Ovis aries: one gene and its partners. The protein of the gene in region 3 purifies or fractionates together with the protein of the main gene of each other region. This does not show direct contact. Links are inferred from orthologs where the notes say so. Each region holds a gene or a part of one and is shown on either strand. Other genes may lie near its edges.

Region 1 (10,129 bases), on a different chromosome or scaffold from region 3:
AAGAATACACATCTAGAAAGGAAAACATCAAAATGGACACTGACACAATTCTGAAGGAAAGGAAAGAATTTATTTGGGGGACCCAAAGGTCATTACACACAAGATGTCCACTAAGGGAAGGGTATTTTCACCCAGATTCTTGCAATGAAATAATCAGCCATTGCTGGTGTCCAGGTAGTATGTCTGTTGGTATTTGTGAATATTGTTGAGTCTGGCTAGATTACATCAGTTCCTCTTAGTGTGCACCTGTCAACCTGTGCCATGCAGGTTATTTCTCTCAGATTCCAGGTAACAGCCTCTTCTCTCACCTTGAATCCCTCCTGCCCCTACCCTGAATTCTAAAACCTGTAGTGAATTGAGAGAGAAGAAAGGGCAGAAATAAAGGAAGGGGCTTACAAAGCTTAAACTTTTGCTTTTTGAAATAACAAATGAAAAGATCAGTTCAACCTTTGTAAGGTTGCTTTCCTTCTATTATTAATCTTTAATTTCCTTAATCACTCCTAAAAGAAAGGGTTACTCCTTCCATAGTTTTTCAAAGTTATCATGACGGCATATATCTAGCCTATTAAATTAGCTTTGGTCCCACCTGCTTCTCATGCAGATTAACCCCACAGACTGCCTGCACATCCTACTCAGACAGTGCACAGCCTCATCTGCTACAGCTGACACTTTTTGTATGCCCCCCCACCCCACCGCCACTTCAGATTCCCAAGAGAACCAATCAAAGCAAGAGAATGTCAGAGTCAGCAACCTCTGGTCTTTAGGGCCTCTGTTCAGCTCAGCAGTAACCATGGGGGATGTCTAATGTAGTCTAAGGGATAGGCAAAGAAGATTAAAAAAAAAAAAACTGATTGAGAAATACAGAGAAACAGAATAAAGGGAGAGATAGAAATATAAAGGACAAAGAGAGAAATGTTACCATTCAGATGGAGGGGGACCAACTATGATGGTTTCACAGAGCTGCTCAGTAATCCCTGGACTATAATTATCCATCTCAGGTGTTCAGTTGTACAGGAGCTTTGGACCAGCACTAGAGAACCAGGATTTTAGTATCAGCACAGCCTCTGGTGAGCGGGGTGGCCCTGGGCAGAGCACTAGGTCAGTTCCTCATCTTAAATTTGAATCACCTTGAAAATTCTTGAGTTTTAATAGTCTCTCATTCTGTTCTGAGCCTGGGCCTCACTGAGAACCTGTTTTGGAAATGTTCCCTGATACGATATGAGAACCTGTTTATTTTGTTGTATTAGTGCAAAGAATCTGGAAGTGTGAGCGGGGAGACCATCGAAGTGCATCATGTGCATAGCAGGACGCTCCTAAATCGAAAGGTTAGCTAATTGGTAAAAATAAGGCTTCTGGCAAGCTGTGAAAACCCTGTATCTTAAGGCCACCAAGCAAAGTGCCCAAGCAAGCATCTGTGTCCAGCTCCTCTGCCTCAAGGGTGCCGTGAGGCTTGGTTTCCAGGGTCTTGCCAAGCATGCCGTGAGCCTGGTTCTTGGCACCAGCTGGATGCATCATCTCTCTTTCCACGGTCCTTAATGAAGTGTGTAGCTCTTGTCCTCATTAGGCCCCAGCATCGTCAATAAAAGAGTCAATAAACCCGGTTGATGGGGTTGGGACCGAGGGGCTGAGATGCAGCGGCCGCACATTCACAGGGCAGACGTCAGCTCGGCCGCATGTCGTGACCCAGCATCCAGGGATCAATAACCAACTCGGAATAAAGCCCAAGAGCTGCCCTCTGCAGTCTCCTCTCCCTACCCATTTCACCTGGGGCTGAGCAGTGCCAGTCAGCTCTTGCTTTGCTTGCAGTTGTTTCCGCCCCATGCCATTCTAGGTGCCAGATGCTTTTGTTTCTTCCTGACTGAACCCTCCGAACACCCCATGGATGCATATTTAGTGAGTGCCCACCTGGCACGAGAACATGTAGATGGCATCTCCAAGCAGCCGAGAGGCCAGCATGGGCCCTGTTTTCCATGTCTTCTGTCTGCTAACAGTGAGAGAGGGGCCCCTGTGGACCAGGTGGTAGACTTTCTGCGTGTTGTGCTATGGAGTCCATTTCAGCTGCTCTGCATCTCTTCAGATACCCTTATCTTATCTAATTACAAGGAATTTCAGATGAATTTCATGGCCTTTGCTCCAAAGAACCTCTTATCTGTGAGGGCCTTGTATTTTAACCTTGTCATTCTTTTGTTGTTAGCCATTACAGGAGAGATAGCTAAGAAAGGGATGCTAGGATCTTGCTGGAATTGGGTTTGGGGGAGGGGAAGAAGAGGGAGGCAGACAGACCTGGGACTTGTGTATTCTGCTCCATCCCCCTGCCTGTGTGTGGAGACAGCTGGCTGCTTACTTCCATGACAGCCACATGGTACCCAGCCACACAAACAGGACCCGGGCAGCGACTCGTCTGCTGCCAACCTCTCCAGATCCCTTTGATATTTCCGACAGAGCAGTAAAAGACTCTTGACTATCACATTTTGCCTTGCCTCTCTCCACCTCCTCGAAGACTCCTCAGTGTGGTTTCCATGGCTACCCCCAATCAGATTTGGCTTCCTGCAAAATTGGATTTCAAAGAAGGACAAGGCTTCAAAGGAATTTGTCCATTTAACAGAATGTCATTAGGAGTGAGGCTGACTGTTGAACCAGGGTCCTCAGATGATTAAGGAGGGGCTGCGTTCATGTGTGGAGGCGGGTTTCTGTCTGCAATGAGGAACCTTGATGCAACATGACAATGGTGTATTGGAATCTGCCACTCACTGCACGCTACCCAACTGTGCACCTCCCTCTACTCCATCTCTCTGCACCCAGAATGGATGTAGAATATCTTTGCCTTGAGTTTCTGCTGCTTCCCTTGGTATAAGTAAGCTATGACAGGCAGTGAGTCCTGATAGGATGTGCAATTACTAGGGTTTATTGCTTTTTATCAAACAACCCTTTAACTTGTAGCCTATTTCAGCATTTGACAAATACCCTTGAAGAAGGGAGGGAGGTTGTCAAATTTCCTCCCACTGTTGAGAGGAAAGCAAGGCAAAGTGCTGGGGTTACATATAGGAGGGACTGTGCTGTTTTTTTAATCTTTTAGATTTAAGAAAAATTGCAACTGTAGTACACAGAGCTCCGTTGCCTTTTAACACATAAGTACTCAAAAATGATTCCAGAGCAGCTACAATTTTATAGAAGGAGCAGTGAGTGTGGGAAAAATGCCCCAGTGGGGAACTGGTCTTACTCTGGAGCCTGAAGGAGGCAGCCTGCCCATGTTAACTTTCCCAGGGCAAAGATGCCTTGTAACAGGGGCCAGATTCCCCAGAGATTCTAGCCAGCCTCTGTCCCCTATACTTTCACCCCAATTACTGGAACTGGTAGGTGAGTCATGTGACCCTGAAACCAAGGCATCGTTCCTCTTCAGGTTGCAGTACTTAGATGTATAGATGGCTCAAAGACACTGGACCCCTTAAAGGATCAAGCCCCCAAACTTGAAACTGTATCTCTGGAGGGGAAGCTATGCCTGGAGGCAGGAACTGCTTCCAAGAGTCCTCTGAACAGTTTCTCCTTGCCCCCATCTCCACATCCACGGTTCTGTCATTATTTCCCCTGAGGTTACTGTAAAAGGCACTTCACCCATCTTCTCTGTTTCCTTTCTCTTACTACTCCCAATCCTTTCCACATATTCTAGTGTACATAGAATCTGATAATAGAAACTATTTTTTACAAAGAAGGAAACTGATAGAGGTGAAGTGAGATGTGCAGGGGCTCAGGTTAGCTCACTCCCCATCTCAAAATTTGTCTGTGGCTCCCAATGTCCACTCAAATGAGTTCAGAATCCTTACCCTTTCAAGTTCCCTCACAGTAGAACTTTACTTTTTCTTGACAACTATTTCCCTACACCAGCCAGAAACTGCCCTGAAGCAGGAGAAGTCTTTTCCATCTTTGTTTACTCTGGTCCTTCCACCTGCGCCCTTGCCCCTTCAAAGTGTGGTGTCTTCAGAGCCATCTCAAATGCCACATGCACCATTACACCGCACACACATTTTCCCTCCTTTTCTTATATTCATCTCCCTCCTTGTATCACCCCATGGCACTTTATACTTTTTTCATGACACTTGCCCTATACTTAAAACAACAACAACAACAACAACTTAAGATAACTGTGGATTCACAGAAGTTGTGATGAATAATCCAGAGTGGTCCTGTTTCCCCAGGTAAAATTGTGCAATATCACAGGATATCACAGCTAGGACACCTGACACCTACATACTCTGAATGAGAAGGAAGCCCACTTCTGTTATCTTGTCCTTCACTTTCCTCCCTTTTAAACTCTTACAGGGAAAGGGCTGGATGCTCCTCTCCTTTAGCTTTCTCTCTGGGTTACCGCTTCTTTTTCCTCTCATCCTTTTAGCCTTAGGGAAGGAAGGGATACTTTGCCTCCGTGTTTCCATTGCAGAGGGTCTGCTTTGAGTCTCCCTGAAGTTGGTGACTTGAGATTATTTATTGGGACTTATGATCATTCCCTCGAACAGTCCTGGTTTGCCTGACCCACGGTTCTGCCCTGGTTTTCCGGGCTTGGACTCGCGAACTGAGTCGGGAATGACTGCGGCCCGGCTTGGCGGGGACTGACCCTGTCCTCGGATTCCACCTCCTCGCGCCTCATCTCGGCCCCACGGTGGCTTCTCCACCTGCCGGCGAGGCCCGCGGTCCCGAGCTTAGAATGGGGAGCGCCCGGAGGCGAGGTGCCTGGAGTCGCGTCGCGTCTTTGTTCTGACAGGGAATGGGGGCCGCGGGGCGGGCACCTCCTCCCTGGGGCGCGGGCGTAGGGGCGCGGGCCCCGCGCACAGGTGTCGCCGCCGCCCAGGCGCCCCGCCCGCCGCGCGCCGCTTCCTGAGCGCGCCCCGCCCTGCGGCTCGGCCCCGCGGCGCCGGCGACTGAGGGCCAGGTGCCGCCGCAGCCGCCCGCCCGCCCGCCAGTCCGCCCGCCCGGCCCTCTCCCGCCGCCCGCCACATGCAGGCCGCCGCCGCCCTCCCCGAGGAGATCCGTTGGCTCCTGGAAGGTAACGCCCCGCTGGCCCGGGCGCCGCCGAGCCCGCCGGGAGTCGCACGTGCCGAGCCGGCAGCAGCCGAGACGCCAGCGGCTCCCAAGGCCGGCCTTCCCCGTCGGCTCCCTCCCGCCTTCTAGAACCTCGAGGCTGCTGCCGGAGTCCTGACTCTGCAGAGCCAGCTGTTCACCCCTCGCTCAGGGGTCCCGTTCACTCCTAGTAACACATTTTCTTTTCCCTCAAGGCGTCTCCACCTCCCACTTAGCCTCCCGGCTTCTCAGCAAGTTCTGGCCGGGTTCAAGGTCCCCGGGCCGCCGCGGCTGGCCTTCAGCCTGTCCCTTTCTCTTCAGGACGCCCTGCGTCTGTGGGTTACGCGCTGGCCCCTCTCCAGCCCTGACTGTGTCCCTTCACAGGGAACCCTGACCTTCGTGCTTAGAGCTCCCCACGGTCTCACGGGGCTGTTAGGGCTCAGGGGCTCCTGTCGGCCAAGGCCTGGACACCCAGACCTCAGGCCCCCTTCACCCGCCCACAGACTCCCTCTTGCCCCGGGTCGGATCCCAGTGTTACATCTCTTCCCTTTCTAGAAGTGCCCCATTGCGGTGTGTTCACCCTCAAACCGTAGAGCCCATCAGTCCTTGTAAGAGTTAAGGCCATACTCACTAACACTCAACACATCCCGCTGTAACACTCCAGAGACACTTTTTGCTAATGGGCAAGATCTGCTTGCCTCCCACTTTTCCTGGTGAAAAAGTATTAATAATTTGCTTTTCCTGTAACCGACCTTCCTGGAAGGATGGGGACCTGGAATCTGTGTTTGCATAAGGGTCCCAGGAGGAAACCGCTCAGAATTAAGCCTTTTGGTATAGAGGTGACATTTTTGACACATACTTAACAGATGGCCTGTTTTCGGCAGGTCATAGTTTTGGCAAGCAGTATGTTTTTTTCTCTTCAGTTTCTCTCAATTTAATTGGTTTTATATCTCCATTACCATGTTATCTTGGTATAAATGCCTCCTAATCAAATATTTGGCAAGTCTTTTCAGTCTGTTTGTAGCGCTGTTTCCATTCTGGGTTGCTTCCATAAAAGCTGTCAACTACGTGTTTCTTATGAAATGAAGTTTCCAAAATTTATTTTGCTTGCAACCTGAGTGAATCTAAATTTTCAGAATAGAGAAGTATTTGTGGGGTAAAAGAGCATCATCTGGATGTCTAGAAGGAACCCAGCCTTTCCGTCTGCTGTTGGCTCAGTAATTCCAAATATAAAGAGAGTCTGTACTGTGTCTGGTTTCCAGGAGAGAAGGAACCGTGGCAAAAAGTTTCATTCTGCTTGCAGTTAAAGATATAAACAGATTCTTTTTATTGATATCTGTCATTTGTTGAGAGGAAACCTGTTTTACAAACTAGTTAAACTATACTTAGATTTTGTTTACAGCCTTGATAGAAAATTCCTTTTTATTTTCAGAGGCTTACAATGACATCCACTCCTTCAGCATTTTTGATGTGCAGTTCTTTATTGTTCAAAACTGACACTTTGGTAAACAACTCATTTCTGCACCTGCCACCTTCCTTTAGTTTAGATTATTTTCTTGTTAGCTGACTGTTTTTAATTGAAGTCTTCAGATCTCCTCCTAAAGCAGAACCTTTGTTTGCTGACAAGTAGAGCAGAGTATGAATGGAGATTAATTGCATGTCACATACTTCTGTATCAAACTTGCTGTGTCTTAACAATCTGTGTTGGTGCTCGGGTCTTTGGAATATATAGAACAATCCAAGATTAAATTCTAAGAAGCTATGTTGGTTAATGTATTACTTTAAGGCTCCCCCTTTTTTTTTTAAAGTATGTAATTAGAGTCTGAATCTGAAGTAGAGAAAAAAAATGTGAAAGTGGAATTCAACCAATAATTCTATTGAAAAATGTTTGAAGAATATACTTTTGAAAGGTTTGTGTAATCATAGCAACATATTGGTTGTAGGTTTTGTTTTTTATGGAACACATTCTCTGTTGTAGACCAACAGAATTATTCACTGGACTACAAATAGTTTGTAAATATTAGAAGCCCATAATGGCTATCAATTTTTCATCTGTTGCTGTTTGTCTTCCCCCACCCACCCCCACACACACTTTTTAAGGTTAACTGCTGACAATTAGAAAATATGTAGGTCCTGATCTCTATATTGTCACTCAGTGGAGGGAGTCATAGGGTGAGAGTGCTGCTACTTCAATGCTGCCACAGGCTGTGGGGGTGGAGTTTCCACAATGAATTACTACTTTCATAAACCAAGCCATAAGCATTTGCACCGTGATTTAATGCTGGCCATCACAGCCATAACTTTAGCATTTATTTATTTATAACTACAAGAGCATAAATGACAGGGGCGTTTTTTGACATAATGTGTGTGCTTTGAAAAATAAGATATGCAAAGCATTATGAAAGGTTTATGCCAGATTTTGCATATTGAAGAAGGGAACAGAAACGCTGAAGGTCTAAAATTAATTTTAAGGATAAAATTTTAAACATTTGACCAAGAAACTCCACTCCTAGGAATCTATGTTAATGAAAGTAAAGAACATGAAGTATATATTTTTGTTTGTTTGTTTTAGTCGCTAAGTTGTGTTCAACTCTATGGACTGTATAGCTCATCAGACTCCAGAATACTGGAGTGGGTTGCCATTTCCTTCTCCCGGGGATCTTCCTGACTCAGGGATCAAACCTGCTTCTCCTGCATTGGCAGGTGGATTCTGAGTCACCTGGGAAGCCTGAAGTATATATATCAGGATGCATAGTAAGTGGCCATGAGTTGGGAGAAGTCAGGCGATGATATCTTGTGGAATCATCCATCTTATGGAATATTTTGTAACCGTTAAAAAGGGTGAGGTGGATCTTTATATATTGTCTTAGGAAGTGTTGACAACATATTTTTGAGACTAAAAAGCAATATAAATAGTATAAATAACATACCAGTATAAATAACATACCATTTTTGTTTGAAAACAACCCCACCAAAAAAAATACCCCATAATATTTGTGTAAGCCTAAGAAAGAGTAAGAAAGAATATACACCAAGCTCCCAAATTGGTTCTCTAGGGAGGGGAAAGAGAAGGTTGGGGAGAGAGAGGTTATTTTATTTCATACATCTTCATGTTGTTTGAACCGTGACAATGACCATGTATTACTTTTGTAATCAGGATAAAACAACCAGTAAGGCTATTTAAAAGGAAAAGGAACAAAGGACAAATAGAAGCTTGGAGAGGTCAGAGTTCCAAAGGACCATTAACCAGTATTGTGATTATGCTTTTTTGTTTTTAGTACTAGAGATATGCGGAAGGTGGGGATCCCCCCCATTTTTTTTTTTTTTTTTTAGTGCTTTCTTGGATTTTGGGCAAATATTAAATCAGTGAGAGATTTCTAGAGTAACTCAGGAACCATCTTCCTCAGATTCTGTCAGGCTCTCATATAGAAATAGTAACTAGTCCATTTCAGCAATTAAGTGCCTTATAGATAAGTAAAGTGAAGGACATTTACTGCCTTATTGAAAGAGGAAGAAATATTCAGGTCTATTTTCAAATAATCAGGCTTCAGGAGTAGAAGTTATCATTTTGTTTTTGTGCTATGATAACCACACTGGAAACAGAAACAATGGCGTGCTGACAGTTTGCATAGTCTTTGTTTCACAGATACAAACATAATCAGTTTCTTCCTTGTCTTTCTAGTATCTCTTTTGAAGTCAGCAGCACAAGAGGCAGCTGTAAAGGAAATAGAATAAATATTTCTTTAGTTCATAATTTGTTCTGTGTGATGGAATGGTGCTTACTGAGTTTAATAGGTAATAAGTATCTACAAGGTACCTAAATCCTGCTCAAACATGGATTAGAGCCAAAATAACATCCACAATTCAGCTGCATTTAGTAGCAATTGTTGCATTAATGCTGATTCTGACATGCCTATAGTTACTTGTTTTAAACTTCCTTGGAAAGAAGTCATTAATCATTTCATTCCAGGTTGTTCTCCAGTTTTGTACTGGTTGATGTAGCCAACCATAAAATCTTTTTCAATATGGTAAAATTCCAACTCTGTGGAACTCGCAGGAGTGAGTTGTGCTGGATAGCTGAAGATGTTCTCTTTAAGCATTATTTTTATTATAAACAGTTGTGATCAAATTTTTTCTCGGATTCTATAGAAACTTCTCACACTTCCTCAACCAGTCTGCATTCAAGACAACTTCTCTGAACACTTTAAGTCTGAATTGTTACAGTGTATATCAATTATCATACTGTATAGAGATATATTAAGTTATTTAGAGATTTTTTTGCCATAATTGCCACTGGACTGCTTTGTGAATGTGTCTGTTTTATATTTTAATTTTTTGTCATTGTTTCCTACAGTTAGACCAGGCCTATCACTTTGTACTGTTCTCAGTGTATCAGTATCCCCGATGCTCTAGAAACAGTAGATAATTAAGTTCATTGGAATTAAGATATGTGTAAAAGAAAATATAAAGGTCTCTCTTGATGAACATGGTACCCAAACTTTAGGTCTGCACGTTGCGACTTACACATTGGCTGCTCATAGTCTTTTTTGCTTAATTTTTTAATACTGGGTTGTCTTCTGGATAAATGGCGGTATTGTTTGGCTAAATTCTGAAATGTATGTGACCCTACTTCCATTTCTTTCTTTTTTTCTAACTAATTTTTTTTTTTTTGGCTGTGTGAGCCCTTCATTTGTGATGCTCAGGCTCTCTAGCTGTGGGGCACAGGCTTGGTTGTCCTGCTGCACATGGGATGCTAGTTCCCCAGCCACGGATTGAACCCACATCCCCTGTGTTGGAAGGCAGATTCTTAACCCCTGGACCACCAGAGAAGTCCCTTATTTCTTTTTCATGCTAAATTTTTTGGTTATAAAGGTAGTATTGCTCATGTAGAAGATTTAGAAAACAGTCACCCATAGTCAACAACTATTAAATTTCCATGCATATTTTTCAGTTTTTATTATTTGTACAGACTTTAAAAGTTGGGACATATTGTGTGTATAGTTTTGTATACTGATTTTTCCACTTACTGTTTTTCACTTGCTATGGTCACCTGAGTATCTTCTTAGATCACTCATGT
Region 2 (9,818 bases), on a different chromosome or scaffold from region 3:
TGGCAGGACCAACTATATAATTTGCTGGGCTGAGGGCAAAATGCAAATGTTGGGACCCTTGTTAAAAAATACTATTAAGCATTTCAAGGCAAGGCCCTTCTAAGCATGAAGTCCTTTGTGCCTGCACAGGTTGAAAGTTTATGAAGTCATCCCTGCTCCCTGGACTAAAGGGGAGCCGTCTATTCGTCTATTCGTCCATCCATCCATCCACCAACCTGTTTATCCATCTCTCCGTGTACTTATCACTTTTACTATGCATTCAACAGAAAGGCCCCAGCCTGATAAGAACATAATAAGATAAGATTATTATGATAAGAACAGAAATATAGGTAAGAGAGGAATAGCCCACAGTCCACTGAGTCACCCCTGAGCTTTTACCTTCATGCCCAAAGCCCTGGGCTAGGAGAAGCCTGGGCTTCCGTGACAGGTTTGTAAACCTGAGCCCTTCCCTCTGGGGCTGATGCTGGAACCTCCTCCCACTATCCACCACTTAGGCTCAGCTTCAGGAGTACAGAAGCTAAAAGAGGAGGAAAAGGAGGTGTCACAGCCCTTACGGCTCCCCTTCCAAGACAGAAGGCAGCCAGGACAGCAGTGAAATGTGACACAGCCACACAGAGCCTGGCAGGAGCTCTCAGGGGCTAAGGATGGGGCTGGATACGACCTTTGGGGTCACTGAACTGTGCCCTTGCCCCCTCGTTTTACACAAAAGGAAATTATGGCCAGGATGGAGAAGTGATATAATCAAAGGCTCCATGGTCCACAGCACTACCCAGAGGGGCTCGCATCCCTCACTGGGGTGGTGTTGCTCCATTCTAGCCCAAACTCTGCCCTGTGACCTCAACCTAGTGGGAGCTGGAGCCTGAGCCCTGGGCCACAGAGACAGGTGGAGAAGATCCAACACGTGCCCTGGCACAGAGGAAAGTCCAGGCCAGCAGGCTGGGTCCTGGGCTCAGTGCTATGGCTGAGGCACAGTCTCCTCTTCTCTGGACCTCAGTGTCCCCTGCATACAATAAGGAAGTTGAGCACAGTGATCCCCATAGTCCTTTTCATCTCTGACCTTCAGGAACTGTCTGACCCCCTGGCCCTGCTGCCCCCACCTCCCAAGTGACAACCATTTCCATCACAGGGCAGAGAAGCTGGTACCTCTGGCAGATGAAAGGTTTTGTGCACTTGAGACATTAAAGAGCTCTGATCTGAAGTGAGGAGAAGAGAGGGTGCTAACGCAGCTAAAATGATGCACTTTGATTTTCAACCTCCTGCACTTGGCTGGGGTTAGGAAGAGGGGTCCTGGGGCCATGGCCTGGGGGTTCAGGAAGCTCTTTGGCCTGAGGGTTCTGGGCCTGAAGTCTTGGGAGGGGCTTAGATTTGGCTTCTACACTGGGAGCAACAGTGTGTGAATTCCACACTCCTCCCATTAGAGGTGGGTCTCTGCATCCATTCCCTTGCCTCTGGACCCCACCATTTGTCCATCTACCATAGGCCAAAGCCTTGCTTTGAAATCAGAGCACATGAAGTTCAAAAATCAGCAAAGGGTCACAGCATCCACACACACCCCTTCACAGGCAGTCCTCCTGACCCTCCCTCCTCAGTATCCAAGAAAAATGGGCCTGTGGCTGCTGGGGAAACACACACTCAGAGCCCCCCCAAGAAACAGAGTGCATTTCCAGGTGGCTCTGATTGTCAGAAAGTTCTTCCTCTTGATCATAGGGCACCATTTTCCATTAGTGGTCATCGATCCTGACCGCTTTCTATAACGTGCAGAAAAGGGGTAAGAAAAAACCCTTTCATTGTGAAGTTAAATATGTATGATCCCTGAGTACACAACAGGGCTTGTGTGGCTGCCAATCTGGGCTGGCGCGGCTTGGAATCCTGGAATTGTTTTACGGCTGGAAGGAACTCAGAGATCATCTCGTTCAAAAATCCTTATTTTACTGATGGGAAAACTGAGGCCCAGAGAGGGACTGACTCACCCACAGTCATACAGGATGGGTTCCAGGGTCTGATGACCACCTTTAGAGCTCTGAGGGGCCCCCACAGCTGAAGCCCAGGCCCCACCCAGTCTCTCAGTCATGGACTCTGGAGTCAAAAACACCAGGTTTAAGTCCCAACTCCATCATATCCTAGCTGTGGGACTTAGAGCAACTGACTTAACCTCTTAACCTCTCTGGGCATTTCTTTTTCTATAAAATGGAGAGTTTATGTCCACTCCTTGAGGTAGTTTGCGATGATTAAATTAGTTCCGCAAATATTTATTAAGCAGTCACTGAAGGCCGGGCCTGTTCTAAGTGCTGAGGAATATAACCATGACCGTGATGGTAATGGATGTAAAAAGCACAGTGAAAGTGCTTAGAGAAGGCTGCTCCCAGTTCTGTCCTCTCTCACACATGGCTTCCCAGTTGAGGTGTTTCAAGCTCTGATGCTGGGAAGACATGGCCAATGGGCAGGTGGGGGCGGAGGAGATGTGGAAAATAGGGGGGAAGATCTCCCCCTTCCAAGGGTCCACTGGCTGTGGCTTCTGAACCATCTGCCAGAAATAGGGCATGGGGGTGTTTCAGCAGCACCTGGGGCCCTCTCATTTCTTTCTCCCTCTCACCATTCAGTAGCCCAACATGAGCAAAACGTCCAGAATTCTCTCCTTCAGCCCAGAAGGCAGCTGGTCTCGGAGCCAGGGTGCGCCTGGAGGATGAAAGTGAGCCTTCAGCACAGCCATGGCGCCCAGGTCCCTTCCCTTCCATGGCTACAGCCCTTCACGATGTGCAGACCAACGTCACAACCATGTCGTCCTGTACAGGAGGCGGGGAGAGCAGAGGAGCTCTCTTTGCTCTCTTAGGCGTTAGGTCCAGCCGCACAAAATGCAGGAACCATGCTAAGTGCCTTATCTATGTTATTATCTTGTAGATCCTCTGTCCCACCCTACTGCTCATAGAGGAGGGGCCTGTTGCCCGGAGAGGCAGAGCATTGGCCCAGGGTCACACTGTTAGCTAGAGCCAAGGGGGCGTCATCAGATGCCGGAAACTGGTGTTGTTTACCCACCATGCCCACTGCCTTCCAGATGCAGACGCAGCAAAAAAGAGGACGTGGGGGCCTGAGGTTGGCCACACAGAGGATTTGAGTGGAGCCAGGACAAGCGCTGGGTCTCCTGACTCTGAATCCACGGTGCTTTCCACTGCCCCACATCTGTGGGCAATTAGAAGTCTCAGCTCTTCTTCCCACAGAGGAGGGAGGGCAGCCTGATCACCACTGAAGGGAGAGGGCTCACCAGATGGTCTCCCTCCTCACTCAGGACCAAGTCAGGGCCGGGTGGACCCAGGAGCTAAACTTTCTGCTGGAGAAGATGCTAGACCCAGGAGCAGGCTCTGTGGGAAAATGGAGACTCTCTCCCCTGACCAGAGCCTCCCTGGGAGCAAGGAGGTTAAGTCTTTGGTTTCAGGCAGACCTCAGCCTACATACCAACTCTACCAACTGTGTGACCCTGGGAAAGTCACTTAGCTTCTCTGAGCTTTGTTTTCCTTGTCTTCAAAACAGGGGTAATCATAATACTGATTCTAAAGGCCTACAACAGGGATTATAAGGCCTGAGAGGTTCCAGCACAGAGTTAGCACTCCAGGATGGTGACCAACATAGTCTGCATGTTCCCAAGTGCTGTGGATTCAAGGCCCTGCTGCTTGGAGGCAAGGGAAGATACCTGACTTCAGAAGACCTCACTAGAGGCTTCTGTGTACTTTGGGATCACAGAGGCAGGAACACTCCCCCCTTGACATAGAAAAATGTCGGGAGGACCATGTAAGGTTCTGGAAAGGCACCCAGAGGGTGATAAGGAAGAAAGGAAGGAAGATAAGAGGCCTGGGTTCTGGGCTCACCCTTGGGAACACAGGTCTTCAGTAGGTCCCTCCTCCCCTTCACAACCACATTTGCTCAGTCCCACTGTCTTCCCAGGGGACCTGGGGTCAGAACACAGGATGGAGAAGCCTGGGACCCAAACAATCTCTGTTATGTAAACAGAACACAAAAAGAGGATCAAGCAACAAGGCCCCAGGATGATGGGCATGGCAAGCTCTTGGAAGACCGGAGGAACCAAGGAAGGTTGCCTGGAGGAGGTAGAATAGGAGGGTCCTTAAAGGAAAAGGCAAGGTAGGGAGGAAGGCCATGCCTACCGGCAGGAGCATGAAAATTCCTCTGTGAAGACTGGGCTCTGACTGGCAGGAACACAAAGCCCAAGTCTGATGTGATGGGCAGGGAACTTACTATCTCCTGAGCTCTGCCACCTACCAGCTGTGTGGCTGTCTTGACCCTCTGTTTCCTCACCCATAAATATGGTATAAAATCAGTCCTTTCCTTTGGATTTGATGGTGAACGCACATGAAATCAAGCATAGAAAACACTCCGAATGGTCCTGCTGCTGCTGCTGCTGCTAAGTCACTTCAGTCGCGTCCGACTCTGCGACCCCATAGACGGCAGCCCACCAGGCTCCCCCGTCCCTGGGATTCTCCAGGCAAGAACACTGGAATGGGTTGCCATTTCCTTCTCCAATGCATGAAAGTGAAAAGTGAAAGTGAAGTCGCTCAGTCGTGTCCGACCTCAGCAACCCCATGGACTGCAGCCTTCCAGGCTTCTCCGTCCATGGGATTTTCCAGACAAGAGTGCTGGAGTGGGGTGCCATTGCCTTCTCTGCCAAATGGTCCTAGCATCATGCAATGTGTTGATGAGTGGCAGCCGCTGTTAGGAGTTTGGGCTTTCCATAGGTACCTTCTACTGGGGAGACTGACGGAAGGAACGGTGATCAGATGCATGTTTTAGGATGGTGCGGAGAAAGAGGAAGATGAGAAGGCCTGAGAAGCTGCCTGTGACCAGAGGACAGGGCCCAACAGCCAACCCTCTTCTTCACAGCAGGGCCCCCAGATCTGACTGCTGAATCCCAGACCCCCAGCCCAGCCTGTGTGAGGATGGGCCTGCCTCTGCCCCCTCGCCTTCGCACTTTCCCAGCCGCTGGGGGTTTGGAAGGACATCTTAGGAATCCGGAAAATTTGCAAATCCATTTAAATCCCGAGAGGTTGCCTGGCGGCCGACTGGCGTAAAGCCAGGCAGATTCTTAGGGACAAGGCTTGGGCCCAGGGACAGACGCTGTGTGTCTGAGGTCCCTAGTCCCCTGCTAGGCTCTCTTTCTATGTATCCGGCCGGATACATGGATACATCTCCGGATCCATCTCCCAATTCCCCTCTCATACTCCTTCCAGCTCTCCTCGCGGCCCCCTACAGGCAGCGCTTTGCTTTGGAAGCCCCCCTCCCCCCTCACTGCCAGAAACCCCTGGGATTTGTTTGATGAGGGCAAGGGGCACCCACCCCAAAAGCAGCCTGAGCAGGAGAGAGCTGGTTCCTCCAGCCCAGATGTCACCCACAGTCTCGTTGCCTCTTCCCATCTGGTTTTGTTAAAAATATTTTCCATTTTTTGACCTACCCAAGAAGGCGCAGTCTGGGACAAGGGGACAGGACAAGACGCTGGAGTTCCCTCCTCTTCCCAGCGCTTACCTTGCTGCTGATGCCTTCTGAAGTGTGGGCAAAGTCCTGGGCTCTGGGCTGTCACCCCCTCCAGGAAGACCTCCTCACTGCCTCCTCTCCCTTGTCATCAGAAGGACTCTGCTGAACCTGAAGTGGGGCAGTGGCAGAGCGGGAGGACAGTGAGGAGCGTTGTAGGCTTGCAGAGCCTCAGGAGAATGGAGGGAGTGAAGGACTACGGGGTGAGGAGTGGCCTCACTCCCAAAGCATCCTTGTGGAGGAGAAGGGCTGCCAGGAGGGGCCGCCCTGGGTCTGGCTGCCCGGGTCGCTCAGCGCAGGCTGCTGCCTGGTGGCGCTGGTCAGAGGGGCCCGGCTCTCTCCTCCCAGTCCCTCCTTCCTTCTGGCTCCAGACAGGGCGGGCAGGGACTGCGGGCTGCTGGCGGCCCCAGGAGCTCACCCCACTGTGGGCTTCCCTGCCCCCACCCCCTCTGCTTTGGGGGAAAGGCTGCAGAGCAGCCTCTGATTGGCCCAGCTGGGGGAAGGGGGGCTGGGGGCGGGGAGGGCGGACGCGCGTGTGTCTGTTTTCAATTTTAGTTTCCCCCTCCCTCTTTCTTTTCCCCCAAGTTTCTTGTTTTTCTTCCTCGTTTCCCTCTGCTTGCTCCCTCCCGTAGCCTGCTCACTCAGGATGTGAGGGGATGTTTAGAAATTCCACAGCCCACGCCAGCCAGCCGCTGAGTCACTTTTATTAAAGAGTGGCCTGGCCCACTAGCCTGATGCCTGTCTCGGGTAGCCTCCCCTGGCTGTGGCACCTGGGGGTGGGTCCCCTCTCTGGGCCTCAGCTTTCCCATCTGCAGATGGAGCTCTGATAACCCACCCGGTGACTCAGTCGACACTCATTCATTAAACAAGCTTGCTGAGCACCTACTATGTGCCAGACACTGTGCCAGGTGTTGGGGTTGCAGTGGTAAATTACAGTCTCCAACCTCAGGGTACCCAGCTAGTGGGAGATACAGTGCCCGAAGAGGGGGGCACTCCCTGAGGCTTGAAGGAATCAGGAAGGGCTTCTGAGAAAAGGTGACTTAGAAGAGAGAAAAAGCCCTTCTGAGGTTATCAATCTCTCATAAGAAGAAATCAAGGTCCAGGGGTGAATTAGCACAGAAAGGGAAAGAGACATGCCCAAGATCACCCAGCAAACTTCAGATTTCCAGACATCTTCCTCTATCATCTCAAAATCCCCAGAGGACCAGGAAAGAATTATTTCCTTATTGTGTAGACAAGGAGCTGAAGCCCAGAGGAGTCAGATGAGCTTCACAAGCTCACACAGCTACAGCAGAGCTAGGGCAGGGTCAGATCTGTACACACCAGACAGATTCAGGTGCTCTGACCCCAGTGGAAGACCCACACTGCAGTGTTGACTGGCCCTCCGGTCCTACCCTCTTCCTTGTTATCCCTAACCCAACTCTCATTTACCTTCCAGTACTGTTGTGTTCCATTTCCAACCTCTGCCCCAAGGTCTGCCAAGGCTTCTCTGGAAGCCCCTGGACCTCTCACCCTCTCCTTTTTTTTTTTTTTTTCCCTTGCATGCATCCCATAGCATGCAGAAATTTCCCGACCAGGGACTGAACCCGCTGCTCTGCAGTAGAAGCATAGAGTCTTAACCATTGGACTTCCAGGGAAGTCCCATCCTTTCATTTCTTCAACCCTCATTTCCTCAGATCAGAACAAGTCTCTAATCACAGATTCCTGACCAAGGGCATCATTTTTAACGAGAATCGGGTTGTGTCGCCCTACTCCTACTACTGTAACACGGGGGAAACCGAGTCCCAGAGAGGGAAAGAGAGGTGTCCCAGGTGGAGCCCTACGGAGTCTGCCCAGAGCTCCTTCCATCCTGCCCTCTGTCTACAACCTTTTCCTCCAGCACCTCACCCCATGTGTCTGTTCATGGGGGAAGGAGGTTGGGATTTCACGCCAACCACGGTCACCAATCTTGTGCTCATTTCTTGGTCTTGTCCCAGTAGGGACTGCCCAGGAGAACATTGGGTTAGACCACAGAGGGAGAAGGGTTTTTCAGACTAGGTCCACATGATGGGGTGGGAGCTATGAGAGTCTCCCAACGGAGGGGGCTTGGTGCAGCTCAGTGGCAAGGGGGTCATAGGGCAAGTCCGGGGACTCCAAAGACCACAGAGTCAGGCCTTCCTGTCTAGATTTCATCAGTCTTTACAACTCCCCTCCTAGCGTCTGCCTTGGCCATTCACCTCTGAAGCCTTGGTCCAGCTGCTAGGACCAGGTCAGTGGGGCTGGTGGGGGAGAACAAGGAGGCATTTCAAATCCCAATACCCAAACCAGACAGTCTGGGAGTCCTGAGACCCAACTATGCACGTCTTGTGTGGCCTTGGATAGATACCTCGTCCACTCTGAGCCTCGGTTTCCCCATCTGTTCATAGCAAGCATGGGCACACTGCGCTGGAGGGCCCTTGGGATGCTCTGTCTACAAGTCTCTTAGATCTGGACTCTAGCTAGGGAGAGGAGGCGGGTGGGCCCCAGGGCAAGGGGACAGCTGGGGGCCAGAGATGCAGCACAGAGGGGAGGGGGCGGCTGCTGGTGGCTCCCCTGGGAAGCTGGCGGCCGCCGGTTTCCGGCCAGCCCATCTGGAATCACTTAGCCCCTACCACCATTAACCCTTGGCAGGCACCAGGGCTGTTACGCCTCCTCACAGCTGAGATGGGGTTGGGGGATGCAGAATCACATGGAACCCCACAGGGCACTCACCGAGGGCTGGACAGCTGAGGAAGAAGGGTCATGATTGACAGGGCAGGTTTCAGAGATGGACAGAGCTTGCTTCAAATCCCAGCTTTAGCAGTTTGAAGCTACAGGATCTTGGGAAAGTCATTTAAACTCCTGAGCCTCAGTTTCCTCCTCTGAAAAATTAGAGATAATTCAAGGAATGACTCAAAAGACTGTTATCATTTATAATGTGCCTCAAGGGCTTAGTACACTGTCTGAATTGTTCTTGAAATAGTGTTTTTCCCTCATTCCAGCTGCAGCCCACCACTATGTACCCCTCGGCTGAGCCCTCTACTTCCTGGGCCTCAGTTTCCCCTATGTACTCTGAAGGGGTGAGCAGTGGGCAGAGCAGTGCCGTCACACTGGGGTGGTCAGCATGGCCCCCAGCCCCACTGTGGACAGGACGAGCCACAAGCCGTCTCCCACCTGTCCAGATGCTAGGGTCCGTCCTCTGACCATCCTGTCTTGGCAGAGGCTAGGGTGAGGCTGAGAGGGCAGAGCAGGGGTGCGGGGAGCCCCGCCTGAGGTAGAGGGTGCAGGGGAAAGAGGAGCTGCAGGCCTTGGGGTTTGGTGCGTCCCCTTCCCACTGCACAGTGTCATGCTCAAGGATTAAGAACCAAGGCTCTGATATGGGTAGTTCCAATCCAACTCTGCCACTTCCTAGCTGTGTGACTGTGGACAAATTACATGAACTGAGCTCAAAGAGCTTCAGTGTTTTGAGCTGTAAAATGGGGTTGTTGAGAGGCCTGAGTAAGTGATGCACCAAAGGCATTTTGTTCAAGGACTAGGACAGAGTGAGAAAGCTCCACAAAAGATGCCTGATTCTCTGGTGTCACCGGGAGCTGCCACCACCAGGGTTGGAGGGAAGCCTGTGCAACCGCCAATTTGACACCCAGGATGTCTGAGGCCCAGGGATGGAGCGTGACTATGATGTGAGTCCAGGACAGGCACCCAGGTTCTGGTCTAGACTCTCAGGACCATGTTCTTCTCTAAAGGAGGGAATCAGGCTGAAGTGACCCCCCTCCTCAGCCCCCACCCACGCCCCTTAGAGCCGGAAGCTGAAGCAGCTCTCCGTAGGGTGAAGGAGGGGGGCCAGAAAGGGCGCCTGAGTGGGAGAATTCCCAGTAGGCCAGTTCAGCACTCACTCAGGCAGCGCCAGCAGCCACCACATCTGGCTCTCCCACGCTCCCAGCACTGCCCCTCCTCCAGGCTCCCCAGGCCTGGGGTCAGGACGCAGCATGCATGTCCCACACATTGGCACACTCATCTTGGACATCAGGGCTTGAAGAGCCCTAAGAGTGCCTCCATCAGACAGGCACAGAAACTGAGCCCCAGAGAGTGGAGGGGACTTGCCCGAGGTCAGCAGAGACAGAAGGGGCCAGGAAGGCAGGACTCCTGACTCCCAGTGCATTATCTTTCCCTCCTGCACACCCTGAACAGGTAGGTCCTTGTACCTAAAGGCGAGGGAACCAAAAGAGGCACACAGAGGACACTGCCCCTCCCCTTCCTGGACACTCAGCATAGTGGCTATCTGGTGGGGC
Region 3 (10,010 bases):
GCACTTTTCATTCTTAATCCTGCTTACCGTCCGGGGCACAGCCCTCCCCTCCTGTGGATCAGGGCCCCCTCTCTCCTTGGCGAGCCCAATCCTCTGGTTGCACCTCTCTCATTCAGGGCCTGGGCACCTCTGCTCCCCCGGCTCTCTCTCAGACCTGTTTGCTCTTCCATTCAACACACTCTTCCTCAATGATACTGTCCATATCCACAGCTCCCAGTATTTTGTAATATGCTGCTAACAGATTTATATCTGATTTATATCTTACACCTCAAACCAGACCCATCTATTCAACTGCCTACAAGATACCTTGACCTAAAAGTCCAAAGTATCCATGATAAAAGTCATCATTAAAATACCTGCTCCCTGTTCTTACTGCACTGCTTGTCTGCAGGTCTTTCTCCACCTACTCTCAAGGACCCCCCCCTTCTGCCTCTCCGCAGCCCCACAAGATACTGTCTCACCCTCTCTTATCCTGTCTCTCTTGTTCCATCCCCAATTCAGTGCAGCACTCCACCAGTGGCTCATCTGAGTTTCCATAACTACCTTGGCTACATAGATGTTGACCTCCTCTGGTCAACAGCCCATACTGCGGCCAAACAGATCATAAAACAAATCAGACCAAAGCAGCATCTCTACTTACAACTCTTAAAACAGCATTTCTGGACAAAGCACTTTTAAGAACGTTCTCAACTTTCCCACCAGTCTCATCTTCTCCCTCTACCACCCCCACCCACTCTAAATTACTTGCAGTTACCTAAAAAGTCAGGCTTCCCTGATAGCTCAGTTGGTAAAGAATCTGCCTGCAATGCAGGAGACCCCAGTTTGATTCCTGGGTTGGGAAGACCTCCTGGAGAAGGGACAGGCTACCCACTCCAGTATTCCTGGGCTTACCTGGTGGCTCAGCTGGTAAAGAATCCGCCTGCAATGTGGGGGACCTGGGTTCGATTCCTGGGTTGGGAAGATCCCCTGGAGAAGGGAAAGGCTACCCACTACAGTATTCTGGCCTGGAGAATTCCTTGGGATTGCAAAGAGTCGGGCATGACTGACTTTCACTTTCTCTTTCCTAAAGTCTGTGCATCTGCATCCTCGGCTTCTCCTTCTAGGCCAATGGGCTTCATACAACACTCAAATGGCCAGTTCCTCCTCTGGCTTTCTCTGCCTGGCCACCCCAATTTCCCACCTCCCTGTGGAGTTCATGCTGCCTTGTAGACCCAGAATCATGGCAGTTATCACTGTGGTCAGAGCCTTCCTCAAGCAGTTCCTTAGCCAGGATTACAACTCTTTGTTCCTGAGGCATCTAGTTCAATGTCTGGCAAATGGTAGATACAATGAATGAATGTTGCTTGATGAATAAATATGTAGGACGATTCACAAACTCTTATAGACCTATCTGTGGGCCACAGAAGGATCCATCCTAAAATAGAGAGTCACACTGAGTAAAAGTAGTTCCAGAATCAACATGCTTTGCTTTCCCATTTTTAGATTTTTAAAAAAAATTTTTAATTTTTTTTAAATTTTTTAAATTTCCTAGGTTAGCACCAGGGTCTAAAATGGAAAGAATGGCAATAGGAATTGACATTTTATTTTTTATTTAAACATAAAGTTATGTTTCCCAACAACCAAAAGAATCCATTTCCAAAGTATTTATGCCACCCTCCCTTATGGCATATAACACATTTTAATCAATATCATCATTATGTCCATACGTATTATCTTGCATATTGCCTCGTGGCTAAGAGCAAAGGCTCTGAGACCAAACTAACTGGACCTGAATCCTGACTCTACTGCTTACCAGCTGTGTATGATCTTGAGTCAGTTATTTAACCTCCTTTGTTTCACTTTCCGTATGTAAAATGGAGATTATAAGCAAAACTACTTCATATAAAAACAACCTTGAAGTATAGTTAGGCTTCCAGGTGGCTCAGTGATAAAGAATCTGCCTGCCAATGCAGGAGACACAGGTTCACTCCCTAGTTTGGGAAGATCCCCTGGAGGAGGAAATAGCAACCTGCTTCAGTATTCTTGCCTGGAAAATCTCATGGACAGAGGAGCCTGGCAGGCTACAGTCCAGGGGGTTGCAAGACAGTTGGACATGACTTAGCGACTAAACAACAGCAGCAATAGTTGATTTACAATATTATATTAGTTTCAGCTGTTCTTACCATTCTTAAGATTAGAGCTTAAACAGTGGTTGGCATATAGTAAATGCTCAATAAAACTAGCTATTATGTATTATTTTTATCTCCTCTAGCAGACTAAGCTCCCAAACAGCAAGGACAGCAGAAGTATTCATTTTCACAATCCTATCTTCCAGTGCCTTGCACACAATAAGATATTGGGCTAACGTTTACAGAACTGATGAACATAATGAACTTTTTATAGCATACACACAGGGCGAAAAAAACCACAAAAACTGGAGAAGGAAATGGCAACCCACTCCCGTATTCTTGCTTGGGAAATTCCATGGAGAGAGGAGCCTGGCGGGCTGGTCTGTGGGGTCCCAAAGAGTCGGGCATGATTTAGTGACATACCACAACATAGCAAAAGTATGTGCATTACTAAGTCTGATGACTAGTACGGACAGAATTGCTCCTGGGGAGGCCGGTGGAGAACAGGGGCTATCCAAAACACTAGTGATTCACCTGGCTCTGGGAACTCACTTAATCCCACGGAACATGCAGGGCTCACAGTCACCCACCCACTCAAGACATCTGCAGGCTGGAGGGGACCCTGTCAGGACTGAAGAGCTGGGCAGGTGAGGCTCTCTTCCCACGAACATGGCCTGGGGCAAAAAATCTCTCCTCTAGAGTCTCTTTCATTTCCTCTTCCAATTAGAGAAGGTAGGACTGTGATTTCTAAAGACTCTCCTGGCCATTCGGGAAGTCTATAAAATAAGCAGATAACAATCCAGGCCAACAAAGGTAGTACTGGAGAGCCACATCAAAGTCAGTACCACAGCCATCAGATCACTGTATTACAGGGAATAACTGGGTGGGAAGTGGCTACTAGAATCAACAAAAAACCAAGGTTTTTGGAAACATGTTTAAAATGTGAAGGTCTGAACTTATAAAATCAAAAGTCTGGCAATAGCAAAAGAATGAAGGCAATAATGGGTAAAGGCTCTAGGTTTCCATTTAATTCTCATCAACCTACAAAGTCCTTGAAGGCAACGACTATGCCTTGTTGAGCAGCACCACATAGCAAGGTTGGGTGTGTGTGCGCTCTGACTTTTTGCGACCCATGGACTATAGCCCACCAGGCTTCTCTGTTCAAGGAATTTTCCTGGCAAGTGGGTTGCCATTTCCTTCTCCAGGGGATCTTCCCTCCAGGGTCTGAACCCAGGTTCAATCTCTTGTGTCTTCTGCAATGGCAGGCAGATTCTTTTCCACTCGTACCACCTGAGTTGTGGCATATAGCCAAGTTGCTGGCCCCAAACACATATCTTCTTGACTTTTTTTCTAGTCATATGATGACTATTTCCCAGGATCCCTTGCAGTTTAATGTGGCCATTTAACTATCCCTCAAGTAAAGGATGTAAGCAGAAGTGATGTGTGTCATTTCCAGGCCAGGGTAATTAAAAAGTGGGTTCATCCCCTCTACTCTCTCTTTGTGCTTCTGCCAGCTGAAAGCAAATTACAATGGAGCGCCAAGGCATGGTGGAATTTGGAGCCCAGAATCACTGCATGGAGGAAAGTCACCCACTGATCAGAAATACCCATTTTGAACTATTACATGAGGAATAATAAACATCTATTACTTTTGAGTCATTATATTTTTGCAGGCCTATTTGTTATAGCTGCTAATATTAGCCTAATTAAGCCAGGTGCTTAGCACATACCAAAGACCTAACACATTTGTTGAAACAAGACCAGGTTCCTTCTTTCAATGTGTTGATCAACTAATGATGGAAACAGACACGTGCCAACCATAATGCCAGCTGCTGAAGTGTGAAAGCAAAATTGGAGGCATGGTGATTTGCTTGAAGGGGAAAGGAGGAGAAAGCATCCCAGAGTAGAAGACTTTTGAGCTGGGCCTTAGGTTTAACAGAACCCAAGCAAATCAGATGGGGTTAGGAGATTTCAGACCCAGGAGAAAGCAGAGAATAAAAGTACAGAAAGCAGAATATGCATTTGTTCACATTCAACCTCACCACTCTCTTGAACTCGGTCAACAGAGGGTGAGCTTATTGTGCACTTTCTTTCCTGGGTTTGGCCAAACAAACAAGGCTTTGTTTTTTTGTTTTGAACACTACCCTCATTAACCCTTTTGCTTTTTTTAAAATATAAAATGTTCCAAGATGAATGTCCTTAGAAAGTGCAGGAGTAAATGTTTAATGAACCATAACAATTCTTCTCTAATAAAATTCTTGAAGAACTTGAGACAGTTCTATTACTTATAACAGTCAAAGAGCCATGCTCTTAGGAATCAATGGGTTCGACCTAAGTTTTGACATTATTGATTAAGCATGTAACAGTCACTGGCTTACAGAATGGAACATTAAGCCCCCAGATTTACATTTACATTTCCTTTTTAAGAGGAACATCAAGCAGATGGTTTAAGAGATCAGGCAAAAGATTCTCTACCTTCTTCGCTCATAGCTAAGTGCCTCCAACACCTGAGACAATTAACAAAACCACTTCCTCCAAAAATCAGTCCCTTGTCTGAAAGCACAGGACCCGAGGGGCAGAGGGGCAGGGACTTGGGAGAAAGAGCACAAAGGGTGGAAAGTACGGCAGTGGCTTGGCGGTGAGAGGAAGGAAGTGGCTGTCTGAAGGGTACCCTGAAGCAGGCAAGAGAGACACAGTCCCCAGTAGTCTTCCAAATACCGACTTACTGCTGTGTTAGCAATGTCCCCAGGAGCTTCTTTAAATACAAGGGTGAAACAACCATCACTGGGTGGACAAGACTTCATTTCAAATGACTTCAGTCCTCCTTAGACTTGAGAGAAGCAAGTTAGGCTGCCTCACTCCTAGCAAACATCAATATAACTCTCTTTTGGAAACAAAATTCTCCCTCTCCCACACCCATGTATCCTACCCCCTACCATGAAAGGGAGTTAAAACTGGGCAAGGGAGGGTGCTACCCTGAGAGTAAAGCAACTCTTCAGACAGCTGAAATCAATTCCCCCTTCAATCTAAGAAGTACTGCAGCCGCCAGTCAACACTACCGGTCCATGAATACAGCAAAACGGCAGCACCTGCCACCCTGCATCTGGGGCCTTTTATTTTTTGGTAAATGTGGCAGGAAAGACTCTCAGAGAGAAGATCAACTGCTTTATCTGAGCAAAAGGGAAGCCCCAGGGAAGAGAAACAAGAAGCATCGCGCCCACCCTTGGGCACTTTATGCGTCTCCTCTCTGTGCACTGAAAGGGCTCTTTGTGTCACACACACACATACACACACACACCCCGCGAGTCTGTGTGATTTATTGGTGGGAGGAGGGGCGAGAAGGGTGATTTTATTATCCCTCTTCTCACTCAGTCCCAGCAAATCTCCGCCGAGGCCCAAGCCTGGTGGCCTCTTTCTGGCTCAGTCCCCTCCGCCTGTGGCCGCAGAGATAAGAGAGGGGAGGCGACCAAACAAAAACAGTCATCGATCTAGGGAAGTAGAGAGGAAATCCAGAGAGCTGAGAAGGAAGGAGAAAGGAGCCTGAGGGAGCAGGAGGGTTGGAGGGGTCAGAGGAAGAGGAGCTAAGGCTCCAGCACGGGGGACTGGGGAAGGGTGGGTGGTGGCACAGGAAGAGTCGAGGGGAGGATGGGGGAAGTGCAAGGGAGGTGCCAGAAATAAGCTGGAGGATGCGATGGGAAAGGCGACGGCCACAGGAGGAGGAGGCCGAGAGGTGGAGGAGTGGGGCAGGGGTGGAGTGGGGTGGGGAGGGAAGCAGCACGGGGCATCAATTATTAAGTGATTACATCATCCCTGACATTAAAACAACACACACAGCCCGGGTCCCCGCGGGGGGCCCCGAAAAGAGGGCGGAGGCGGAGTCTGGGCCGGCCTAGCCACCCCCCAAGCCAATCCCTATTCACACCCTGAGGAAATGGACCCCCCAGCCCTGCGCTACCTCGGGGCTGCAGCCCGCAGAGGTGTCCTCCGGAGCGACCACAGCAAGACTCCAAGCAAGGCCAACTCCCTGGCAGCCCCGCGGGGAGCCCCAGAGGCAACGATGGCCAAGAGACTGCAGCGCCGGGCCCCGCGGCGGGGGCGGCGCTGCGCTCGGCGCCCGCGGCCCGCATCTCCGCAGCATCCCCGCGGCCCCGCGGCGCATCCCCGGCCGCTTACCTGCGCTGCGCTCAGGCTCCGGAGCCCATTCACATGGTCCACTCCCCGCCTCCTCCGGCGCGGCCGAAGCGGCTCCGGTGGTTGCTCGGCGGGCCCGGGAGCCGGTGGGCCTTCTGAGAGTGCCCAGGGGGCGGCGCCGGGTGTCCCCGGCCCGGCGACTGGATCCCTCCCAGGCGCGGGCGGCGGCTTTGTGTGCGCCTGGGGAGCCCTCGGTGCGCGGGGTGAAGCGCCGCGCGCCCGGGCGGTGATGGACGCGCGGCTCCGAGGGCAGCCTCTCTTCTGCTCCCTCGGCCGGTTGGCGGGCGGGTCTCGGCGGCCTTCGGCTCGCGGCGACCCCTCCTCCTCTCCCGCGGCAGCCCCCTCCCCGCCGGCTCCGCTCCTGACAGATGGCGCAACTGCAACGACGCGCCGCCGCTGCCGCGGCTGCTCCGAGCTACTCGCGCTGATGCTCCAGCCCCTCCAGCCCCAGCGGGGAGTGAGGGAGGGCGGGAGGCCCCGCGAGAGTGGCAGGCTCCACTGTCCAATCAACGAGCCCCTCGGGAGCAGCGGGCGGCGACCATTGGTGGTTGAAGCGGGGGCGGGGCGGCGATGGGTGGGGCCACCGAGTGGGCAGAGCGTTCCGGTGGCATTGGGCATCCTGGCGTGCTTGTGGTGTAAGGGTGTGAGAGGGGATACTAGATTGGAGGAGTTGTGCGTGTGTGTTTTTTAAGGTTTACGTGGACTTGAGGTAGTGGGTTAGGGTAAGGAAAGAAGAGGAGAGTGTGAGCTTCAGTTTCTGCTTTGGAGAAGGTTGCAGCCGCTACTGCAGAAAGGCATCTGCCATTCCCTCAAAACCATGGGAACCTGCCTTGAGAAAGGGCTATCTTTCCTTTCTGTTGTCTTTTAATTTGAAGGTGGGAGGATAAATTGGGAAACTGTTAGGATGATTAAATTGTTTTCTCTGATCAAACCGAAGAGTGCGGAGCAAGGGAGAATCCCATCACAGAAACCTGGAAAAAAGAGAAACCTGGAAACGCGCGGTTAATATTATCAGTAATTATAAGGAGGGGGAGGAAGAAAAGGAAGGGGATAAAACGGAATAAATTAGAATGAACTGATAGTCTTCTGATATATGTATATATATATAAGCAAAGTCTGCAGGAAGTATTAGGGAAATACGAGTAAGGGGTGGAGAGGGCAAGCGACTACTATGGAATCTGCAATCACAGAGTGGGTGTTTGTTTGTATAGCTTTTTCCAAAAGCATGTTCAATTGTAGCCATTGGTTGTCTTTGTTTTCTCATGAATTCAGCCTTCCCGTGGTTTTTTTCCTTCTCTAAATCTGAGCTTTTGCTCAGATTTTCCTTGATGAAATAATAGCTGGTTTAATATACAACTGGGAGTGCATCAGTCTTTATTTCCTATCCAGCATTTCTATGGCAGGATGTAACTTCATTAAAAAAAAAGCAAACACTTCAGCTTCCTGATTTTCTTTATAGGTAATTCCTGTTTACTGAAAGTTCTACTCTAAGGCATGCTCAGATTCATTCTTCTTAATGATTTTGGCAAGAATCCTACCCTACCCCCTCAGCAAAATATAGCGCTCTGAGAAATATAAGTGAATTGGCATCTGCTTCTATGTTCAAAATCTATAATATTACCTTTCCTGCCCACTAAGTTTTGACTGTAGTTTTCAAATACCAGTCACTTTTTCTGCCTTTTTTTGGATACATAGTACTTAAAAAAAAATTAAACTAAGAGGTATTTATATGGAAACTTCCCCCTGAGAAATCTGTGCAATATTGGGTGGGGAGGGGGTTGTTTGTTTTTAATCTATTTTTATTGGAGTATAGTTAATTTACAATGTCTTAGTTTCTGCTGTACAGCAAAGTGAATCAGTTATACATATACATATATCTACTGTTTTAGATTCTATTCCCATATAGGTCATTACAGAGTACTGAGCAGAGTTCCCTATGCTATACAGTAGGTACACAATACTTTTTAAAGTTGCTAACATTTGTTAAACAAATCCCCATTTTACAAATGAGGAAACTGAGGACAAGAGAAATTAAAAACTAAATTTAAAGTGATTGTATAGTGTGATTACTGGGTTTCTTTCTTCCTTAAAATACTGAATGAAATCATATTTAAATTATGTGTTGATTATTTATTTCATAATCCCAAGAAATGGAACCCCAACTAGGACTAGAAATTTCCATACAAGAGAACGCAAACTTCATCTAGCCAAGAATTGTTTATCTCAAGAGAAGAGGCTCTTCTTTCTCAGTACTAGCCTGCCATGGCTCTCCTAGTTTTCTATGGATTGGAATGGAGAGGCAATTGTCTAGAGCAATGATGCTGAAGCTGAAGCGCCAATGTTTTGGCCACCTGATACAGAGTCGACTTATTGGAAAAGACTCTGATGCTGGGAAAGATTGAAGGCAGAAGGAGCAGGAGTGGCAGAGAGTGAGATGGTTAGATAGCATCGCCAACTCTATGGACATGAATTTGAACAAACTCTGGGAGATAGTGGAGGACAGAGGAGACTGGTGTGCTGCAGTCCATGGGGTCGCAGAGTCAGACACAACTTAGCAACTGAACAACAGCAACAAATGATTCTAAACCTTAGCATGCATCAAAATTACCAGAAGGGATTTGTTAAAATACTGATTGGTGACCTCCACCCCCAGAGGGTCTGATTCGGTAGACTTGGAATGGAGCCCAAGAATTTGCATTTCTAACAGTTCCCAGCTGATGCTGACGCTCCTGGTCTGGGTACCAGGCCTTGAAAACCACTGATCTAGAATCAGGCTGTCCAATGTGGTAACCAAAAGCCACACCTGGCTCTTACACACTTGAAATGTACTTGAGTTTTTGATATGTGACTAGTGCAAATTTAAATGTCCTGTGAAAGAAAAGACTCATTGGATTTTAAAGATTTAGCATAAAAAATATAAAACATCTAAATGATTTTTATATTATTCACATGTGAAGATGATAATAGTCTGAATATATTGTGCTAAATATACTATTAAAGTTAATTTCACTTATTTCTTTTAACTTTTTAATGTGTCTACTAGAGAATTTTAAATAGCGTATGTGGCTCACATTACATTTCTACTGGACAGCACTAGACTAGATTATTTCTGATTCCAGCTCCACACTGCACACTGTTGACAGCACCTTGATGGGACAAATCACTTGCCTTTTCTGGCCCTTAGTGTTCTTATATGTAAAATGGAGACAGAGGAAGACTGATCTGAAGCACGCTACTTGTTTGAAGACTAAATGGACATGAAAGGGTACCGTCTTCCTTTTTGAAGATAATGTCATGTACTCTCAGAAAAACCGCTCTTGAGATAGAGCCCTCCTTGGAATTCCATGTGAGGTTCAATTTATCTTACATGAAATCTGGAGTAGGTGGAGTGAGGCATCTCATTGTTTATGGTTTCTTCAAGAGGAGTCGCTTTTTTAGCGTCTGTAACTCTAATAGCTCCTTGATCTAATTAGGGAACAAAATGAAGAGACAATGCAATTAAGATGACAGATTAACCTGCTCCCATCAAGACTTCATCCTGTTTTTGTAATTCTTTCCTTGCCTACCTTTCTATCTGTTGCCCTTCTTAAATGTGGGTTTAAATGGATTTGGCCTCCTAGGAGGATTAGCTAATGGTCTGAACAAGTGTATAGAGTACTGGGAAAGATTTGGATGCTATTCCCCATTTTGATCTACTGTGCAGGTCTCAAC

What was found.
Region 1: the proteins of FYN (region 3) and SKAP1 purify together in Homo sapiens (affinity purification with western blotting; 3 studies listed by BioGRID and IntAct, with this or other methods). This does not show direct contact. The link is inferred for Ovis aries from reciprocal best matches to the Homo sapiens genes FYN and SKAP1.
Region 2: the proteins of FYN (region 3) and PDGFRB purify together in Homo sapiens (pull-down; 3 studies listed by IntAct, with this or other methods). This does not show direct contact. The link is inferred for Ovis aries from reciprocal best matches to the Homo sapiens genes FYN and PDGFRB.

What each region holds. Positions count from the first base shown.
Region 1 is NC_056064.1:37,785,780-37,795,908, forward strand, and holds the start of SKAP1 (src kinase-associated phosphoprotein 1), read left to right. Parts: upstream 1-4,894; 5' UTR 4,895-4,989; coding exon 4,990-5,038; intron 5,039-10,129. UniProt on the Homo sapiens protein: Positively regulates T-cell receptor signaling by enhancing the MAP kinase pathway. Required for optimal conjugation between T-cells and antigen-presenting cells by promoting the clustering of integrin ITGAL on the surface of T-cells.
Region 2 is NC_056058.1:59,267,989-59,277,806, forward strand, and holds the start of PDGFRB (platelet-derived growth factor receptor beta), read right to left. Parts: upstream 5,896-9,818; 5' UTR 5,527-5,895; intron 2,677-5,526; 5' UTR 2,597-2,676; coding exon 2,594-2,596; intron 1-2,593. UniProt on the Homo sapiens protein: Tyrosine-protein kinase that acts as a cell-surface receptor for homodimeric PDGFB and PDGFD and for heterodimers formed by PDGFA and PDGFB, and plays an essential role in the regulation of embryonic development, cell proliferation, survival, differentiation, chemotaxis and migration.
Region 3 is NC_056061.1:25,877,471-25,887,480, reverse strand, and holds the start of FYN (tyrosine-protein kinase Fyn), read right to left. Parts: upstream 6,734-10,010; 5' UTR 6,282-6,733; intron 1-6,281. UniProt on the Homo sapiens protein: Non-receptor tyrosine-protein kinase that plays a role in many biological processes including regulation of cell growth and survival, cell adhesion, integrin-mediated signaling, cytoskeletal remodeling, cell motility, immune response and axon guidance.